Danio rerio: one gene and its partner. The protein of the gene in region 1 binds, or shares a complex with, the protein of each later gene. Links are inferred from orthologs where the notes say so. Each region holds a gene or a part of one and is shown on either strand. Other genes may lie near its edges. The genes, in order: wdr48b and usp46.

What was found.
Region 2: the proteins of wdr48b (region 1) and usp46 are in contact, whole or in part, in a crystal structure (PDB 6JLQ), measured with the Homo sapiens proteins. The link is inferred for Danio rerio from reciprocal best matches to the Homo sapiens genes WDR48 and USP46. Residues at the interface, in NP_065890.1 of Homo sapiens: Arg50, Trp77, Asp118, Tyr119, Lys121, Leu137, Arg139, Ser170, Tyr172, Thr188, Asp211, Asn212, Lys214, Ser230, Gly254, Trp256, Arg272, Ile364, Leu424, Lys425, Gly521; in NP_073743.2 of Homo sapiens: Arg181, Leu183, Asn184, Cys185, Glu186, Thr187, Cys222, Ser223, Glu224, Lys226, Cys232, Cys233, Ser234, Lys235, Gln236, Glu237, Gln239.

What each region holds. Positions count from the first base shown.
Region 1 is NC_133177.1:53,176,326-53,180,160, reverse strand, and holds part of wdr48b (WD repeat-containing protein 48), read right to left. Parts: intron 2,710-3,835; coding exon 2,580-2,709; intron 1-2,579. UniProt on the Homo sapiens protein: Regulator of deubiquitinating complexes, which acts as a strong activator of USP1, USP12 and USP46. Enhances the USP1-mediated deubiquitination of FANCD2; USP1 being almost inactive by itself.
Region 2 is NC_133195.1:25,683,342-25,687,775, forward strand, and holds the start of usp46 (ubiquitin carboxyl-terminal hydrolase 46), read left to right. Parts: upstream 1-1,318; 5' UTR 1,319-1,344; coding exon 1,345-1,380; intron 1,381-4,434. UniProt on the Homo sapiens protein: Deubiquitinating enzyme that plays a role in behavior, possibly by regulating GABA action. May act by mediating the deubiquitination of GAD1/GAD67.

The DNA of each region.
Region 1 (3,835 bases):
GGAATTCGGCTGGAAAAATATAATTAAGTTTTTTCGTCACCCCTGAGCAGAAGAGATACTTAAACAAAAATGCAGTCTGTTGGAAACTATGTGGCTCAAATGAAGCGAATCATACACACACATTCTGGAAATGTTTAAAAATTCAGGCATTTTGGAAAGAACTTCATAAATGTTCAGAGATTATATTCCATACCCCCATTCATTTTTCTTTCTCAACTCTATACTTAGGTCTCAATTATCCTATGCTAAAAGAAAAATCTGATGAAAAAAATGATGAAAGTTTTGCTGAAAGCCTGTAACAAAGCCATAACAGAATAATGGTTACAGCTCAAAGCAACTCAAATTAGTGACTGGTCTGAAATAACTTGTGATATCTATAAGATGTGGAGGCTAACAATGAATCACCATTTACAGACTGTGGAGCTTAATGAGACATGGAGAAAATGGGTAGAATATATTCTCCCGTTAAGGCCAGACTTGCTATAGAATGTACAATAGTCAGAGAGATGTGCATTTTCTTTGTTTATTTTATGTATTATTTTTTTGGAAGAAAAATAATGAAAACAACAATACCTATTTAAAAATAAACAAATAAAAGTTACTATTTAAGGTGCTATAAGTACCATCCTCACAGTTTCATATGTATATAGTTTATGAAAAAAGAAAAAAAAGTGCTGATCGAGTGTAACAATATGGGTTTAAAAAAAATACACAATTGATTTGTAATTGAAAAGCAATAAATCAATTTGTTCATCAGTTTTCATTTGGATGGCATACAACACAATTAGGAGTGTATTGTTTTGATTGCTCTTATAATGTCCTTGAGTCAATAATGTAATTTCCGTATTTATTTATGCATGGAATTTTTTTATTTTTATAGTATTTTATATTTTCTTTTATTTTTTACAATTTCTGGATACCTATGATGAGACATCGCTATTGCATGTGTCTATGTGTGTGCGTGAATGTCTGTACTTTCTGTAGATGTGTGTAACGTGTGCATGGGACTTTCTTTTTCTTTTTTGCTCGGATTAAGTTATTTTCTGTAATATATCATGACACTGCTGACAGAAGAATAAAGCACAAGATGTGGGATGAGACCTGTGTGAGCCTTGATTTATTTTTCTGCTGCTACACGAGTTAGGTGAGCTCTCCTGTATTTTTTTAACTCAGCATGTTACACGACGTCTTTCACATATATGCGAAATATGCAGGTGTAAGTAATATAAATCATCCACATATCTTTTGCGACTTCATTATCTTAGATGTAAAACACATGGAAAAGCTGCCTAAAGAGAAACAATGCAAATTTGCGCGCACACACATAGAGAGGTGCTGCACGTGCTGGTAAAGTGTGTGTGTGTGTGTGTGTGTGTGTGTGTGTGTGTGTGTGTGTGTGTGTGTGTGTGTGTGTGTGTGTGTTTATAGCAGTTTGACTGATAAATATGAATTTGTAGCCAAATCGTTTCGGTTTCAGCATTTCCCATTGTTTACATCGTTGCTACAGCATACCGTTACCGCTATACACTGAACATGTCATGATCAATTTTAACAAATAAAATCACTTACAGGTTGTAGTTCACAGTTTCTGCTTTGAGGAGATTTTAACCAAATCCAGCACTGAACTGGGAGAGATTCTGGAAGCTGTGTTTTGTCAAATCATGCTTGCTATGTGTTTTATAATTTTCTGGAACATAATTAATATTGAACTGTAAGTACTTCTGTCTGTGTGTCGTCTCCTTTGGAAGACCAAATACAGAAACAGACGAAGCTCTGTGGAAACAGTAGCGCTGGGATGCATTTTAGCTCTCTTTGCTATAACATTACAGCGCCTCTGGCCACGGCCCTTACCTGGCGCAGTGTTTGTGCGTGGTAAAAGTATGTTTGTAATCTTACAGGTGGCGAAGTATTTTTTTGTAGTCCCCAAAATTTGTTCATAGTAGGCTTTACTAAGCTAACTCTGTAAAAACCAAGGTCTCCCTTTGCATTGAACTTTGAGCTTTTTACATTCAGAGATGCAGTTTATGTTCACACAGATACATTACACATCAACTAAAGTTTAAAATAGGACATCGTAGTGGACCACCCCTTTAAGCATGTACAATTATTCTTTAGTTAGTTTAAATGATGCAAAATATCTTTATATAATATACACAAATCCTTTGATTCTCTAAATTTATGCCACATTTATACTAATTTGCTCAATTCCTTTTTTCTTAAGCTTATTCAATTGTCTTGATAAACAGTCTTATTTAGTTAAAATATAATTATTCTGTAAAATATATTTGTATAACAAAAACCACAATTATTCTGCTTCTCTGAATTGATTTATTTACATTATTTAAACAGGTAGCAGTAAATTAAATTATCTAAAAGTAAAATAGTAACCTCTTACATAAATTTTTCAAATGGAAAAGTCATTTAATTACATTAACTAGTTACGTTGTGACCAATTACACCAACACTAGATAGTGCACTCACTACAGAGCAAATGGGTTTTTTCAGAATCTTCTGTTTCTTCTCACTCAACGTATAATAAGTAGGATGGTGTCAACAGTGATGATTTAGCATTTACTCACTGGTGACTGTATTATTGGAGGCGGTCAGAGCTGTCAGTGTGTTCACATCCCACAGAAAGATCTGCCTGTCCAGCCCAGCTGATGCCACCAGTTCCTTGTCCTTTGCATATGCTAAAGCTTTGACATAGTCCTACAGCATAAATCACAACCACATCACCAGGTTAGACATATGATGATAATAAATAATTCAATATATCGTGACAATGAACATGCACAATATTGAAATTGTGGGCACTTCAAAATATTGTGAATAAAAATTTGTTATTTAAACTTTTAGACTGCCTTGTCAACAATATTTTACATGTATACTTGGATTCTGTGTAATGTGCAAGTAATCCAAGAATATATATCTACAGGGTTGGCCATTTATATTGATACACCTTAATAAAATGGGAATGGTTGGTGACATAATGTCCTGTTCTTGGCACATTAGTATATGTGAAGGGGCAAACTTTTCAGAATGGGTGGTGACCATGGTGGCCATTTTGAAGTCGCCATCTTGGATCCAACTTTTGTTTTTTCAATAGGAAGAGGGTCATTTTGACACATCAAGCGTATTGGAAATTTCACAAGAAAAGCAATGTAATCGATATCGCAATGTGGACATCTGCAATTGTCACATCGCAGGACCTGCAATATTGTAGCGGGATTATAGATGACCAGGAACCACAGTTGATTGTGTTCGTGTGATTGTGTAAGCATTTAAAGCATTTTAAAGCATTCATGCGCAATAAATAATGTTTGTAACTTTGAGAAAGGTTAACTGTATTGAAGTATATATACACACAATGAAGACAACACTGCTACTTTACATTTCATTATTCAATTTGTGTACCTGAATACTGCTAGACTCCCAGAAAATCTGTGTCAATGTTTTTATTTATATCTTTGCTCGGCTGTTTTTATCAATGCTTATGATTGGTTTATTATATTTAATGCATATGCACTTATCATCCTAATCAATGTAAAATGATGTAAATTTTTTCCCCAAATAGAGCTATGGACCATTTTCACAAGCCTGTTAAGACACATTTAACGATCATCAGCAGCTTAAATTCTTAAAAGTTTTTAATATTTAGATTTTTTTAAACCTATAAACATTTCTATGTATTTAAGTATGTAGTATATTATCTTTGCTACAAATGACAAAAAAACATCTATAGGGGCAGGACAGTAAATTTGATGTTATTCTCTCTTCTGGCTGCCGTCATCAGTCTCACACTATTTTTTTCCTTTTTCTGAAAGTCTTTATAACA
Region 2 (4,434 bases), on another chromosome or scaffold:
TATATATTTATATATAAAAAAACACTTCCTTACCTTTATATTTCAGACATTGTAGTAATTGGTGATTTCCTCTTCAGTCAGGGGGCTCAGATGGCCAGTCTGTAAAAATAAGTTTAACATTAGGCTAAACATTAGCAAGTAGACCGCTAACTCACCACGTGCTGTGTAGAGAACACGTGGCCTTTTAATAATTAAAAAGTTACTAGTGTTTAATACTAACCTTAACGTGACTTAATAAATGCATTGCTTCATTATTTAAAAGATATTTATTATAAAAATATTTACCAAGCCTTAAACACTTCTAGAAAGCCCACTATAACTGTTCAGGTTAAATAATTAAAACATTTATAGTCCAAGTTGCAAATACAGGAGTAAAATAAAACATAGAGTCTATTTAACTAATTAAAAAATACAATACATATGTGCATTAATCTGAGTATTTAATCTCACCAGAGGTAATTTTGCCTCCGCTCATGTTTTCTGTGCCTGCTCTCAGGGATTGTGCAAACGGAAAAGAAAGAACACGTGTGACCGGTGCGAGGAATTCTGGGACTTTTAAGGGGACCGCCTCTAAATTCATTTCGCCTCTTCAGATGATTTGGGGAGTCAATCTGATCTGATTCACTCTGATGATTCAGACTGATCAGCAAACAAAACGTTCTGACCGGTTTTGAGAAAAGAATCGACTCAGTAGAATCACACACGCTATTTTGCATGGCTGCACAGCACACGAGGCAGTGTTGTTTAAACTAGATAAAAATTAAGATCAATATTTTGTGAAAACAGACCTATTGTCATACATTTTGTCAGAAAAGTAAAAATAAATTTACTTTATATCTGCATTATATGTGCATTCTTAGGGGCTTGTAAGTGGAAATGGTTGTTACTTGATTTAACCCCTTTATCTATCAAATCCAAATTCTACTGGCCACAGCGAATTTATCAACTGATGTTCTCACCATTCATTGGTCAGTTGACCTGTCCATCAACTGACCAGCGTTTCGTGTCGTACTCCCCAAACGCACCAATCGGGACTCAATGGGCGGGGTTTGACCGCTAATCCAGGATGTGAATGTTTCGTTTAGGACGTGCAACTGGCAAAGATGTTTACAATAAGTTTATCCAGCATTTTTATTCTCATTTGCAGTGGCCATGAAGAAAACATCTAGATGAAAGCCGCCGACGTTTATCTCACGCTTTGTTTGCACTTTGCATGAGCGGCGGGAATTGAGTGGTCACTGATTGCTGTCCTCCGTTGGGATTGCAGCTTGGCCTGTCAGTGTTCCGCTGTTACAATCATGTTTATTTCATAAAGATGGCAACGAGAGGCACCTTATAAACTAAATGACTGTCAGAAACATCGCCTCCATTTGTAATATGGTAAGTAGAAGTGTTTGGATAGCATGCTGGCTAGCTCTTACGTAATGATGATGGTTGAATGGCTTTCCTCAAAATCAGGTGCATGACCTCATTTATGAGCTGATGCATGCTTGGATCACTTCTCAAGTAAATGCAGCTATCATAACTAGACGTGTTTGCTTGCTCATGTAATAAACTGTGACTGAAAGCTTAACTGCCTAAAATGAGTTTTACAGTCAGTGATTCCGCTTTGTTTTGTGATAGTATATGTAGTGTGAATCTTGTCATTTTAAACAATCAAGCAATCTCAGTGAAAAATATCTGTACTTTTTTGTTGCAGTAGCTCTTTCTATATACTCCGTATTTTCTAACATGTAAATAGCGTATTCATTGTCTAGTCGTTTTTGATTCTGACGTCATTTTGAATGTATACGAATATTAAACAGTGCTGCAGGTTGGTCTACATACAGAAACATTTTAACATTTGTTTTGGAGTTGCCCATTATAGCAAGCCGTTTTGACATTTATTCAACAGCCCGTACTAGTATTTATTTTTATGTTAATAGTACTTACTTTGTAGATACTACAGTAGGATCTTTTCCATTAAATAGTAGTGCTTATTCATTATACTAGTGCTTATTTGTTGGACACTAGTGGTGCCTATTATTTAGATACTAGTACTTTTTCTTTAGCTACTATTGTCTTTTGTAAATTTACTAGTACTTATTCATTAGATACTAGTTTTTATTCATTAGGTCCTAGTACTTAAATAGATAGGATGTATTAGATACTAGTACTTATTCATTAGATACTAATACCTATTAAATAGATACTAGTTCTTTCTTATTAGACACTTATTAATTAGATACTAGTACTTATTTTAATAGTGACTAGTAACTATTCTGTTGTTACTAGTAACTTTTTTTTCCCATTGATTTCTATAGGATATGTCATTGAGATATCGACTATTCAGTTTTGACTAGTGTGTATTCCAGCTGGGACTAGTACATATATTTTTTTTATGTACTAGAAGGTAATCATTAGGTACTAGTACTCATTAATTAAATACTAGTACCCAATTAATAAACAATAGTATCTATTTATTATCTACTAGTACTTAAGTAATATATACTTATACCTAGTATATATGGTTACTAGTCACTATTAAAATAAGTATTAGTATCTAATAAATAAGAATTAGTATCTATTTAATAGGTACCTAGTATCTAATGAATGAGAGTATAGATATATACATTAGATGTTGCCTACCCTGCTGTTGTCTATTAGAAGGAATGCATCAGCAGAGCCGCCATTTTAGTACAGGAAATGAAATGAATGCGGGACCAAGATGCAGTGAAGGACTGTGGCCATCCAAAGCCAGAGATATATACACGTATATCTCTGATCGGGAGTTTTTCCGGTTGTCAGTATGCAAATATTTTTTTTTTTAATTACAAAAATTTAATTTTACATCTTTTTTCCACTGCATTTTCGGCATTGCCGACAAAGAGTATATGTTTGTGTGCATGGAAATGTATTATTCTCTCTCCTTGTTTAATTTGGTCTATTCCGCGTCCTGAAACACACCCCCTCATGCTTTCACTTCTCATTCTAACGGAGGGAGTAATTCGTTTATGGGATTCCGTTATGAACGACTCGTTCCCTTGGCTGACAATAATACAAGTTTCTGGCACTGCAGCAACTTGTTGTCATATTTCATAACATTGTTTGCTTATTTTATTCAACAAAACTAGCATAAGCCTAGTATTTAGTGTGAGTTGGTGCTCCTTTGCCCTATGGTGAATGTAGTAAGAGACTATAATAAGATAAGAGAGTATTATCATCATCAATATTTGTTAACCACAAAAGTTCATAACATAAAAATGTAAAAAACTAAATCTTACGTATTAAATGTTTTGCCTTAGTGCTTTGTTTTCTTTGTTTGCTCGTTACTACACCCGTACACAGCGCTAAAGTCCAGCATCTTCACATTGGCACACTGTCTTGACCACTTCTGTCCTGGGAGCACTGTACAAATGTGGCGGCGCTATTGACGCATACTCAGGGTATGCGATATCTAGTGTATATATATCTATGATAAATGAGTACTAATATCTAATTAAAAAAAAAAGTGTCTAATAATTAAGCACTAGTATATTTTTAAAAGCAATAAAACACTTAGTATCTAAAGAATAGGCACTAATACCTATAAATAAGCACTAGTATTTAATGGAAAAGATACTAGTATCTAAAAAAATAAGTACTAGTAGTAGTAACATAAAAATAAATACTAGAACAGGCTATTGATTAAATGTCAAAATGGCTTGCCATATGTAGTTACTTTTTGATGGATTTCTGTTTTTTATTAGAATCAACGTTATGTCCAGCTTTCAACTTTATTTTAAAATGTTTTTTTTAAACTTTTTTTTACATTCAATAGATCACTATACAAAGAATATTTATTGATCAATTTATCACTTCTGTTGGTAAAAGTCAGTATACAAAAGCCATTATTTCTTATTTTAAAATCAGACTTTAAGCTGTTTATCTGACAAACAAAAAAATCTGTTAAGTATTAATGAATGCAAACATTTACATGTTTTTATATATTTTTTCCTTTCGTTGTCGTCATCCCCTGGCTTTTGTATATTGTTCTTAATTTTGAATTGTCAAAAAAGTGCTACTGGTCAAATGAGCAGTTACTGGGTCCCTCAAACACGTAATATACTGTAAAAGAAACCACAATTCATCTGAATATGTCTGGTTCGGTACGGTGGCACAATGGGTAGCACAATCGCCTCACAACCCTAGCTGGCTCAGTTGGCACTTCTATGAGTTTGCATGTTCTCCCCGTGTTTGCGTGGGATTCCTCCAGTTTGCTCTTGTTTCCCCCACAGTCCAAAGTCATGCGGGACATGTGCATTGAATGAATAAGCTAAATTGGCCGTAGTGTATGTGTGAAAGAGTGTGTATGAATGTTTCCCAGTACTGGGTTGCAGCTAGAAGGGCATCCGCTGCATTAAACTCATGCTGGATAAGTTAGCGGTTCATTTTGCTGTGGCGACCCCTGATTAA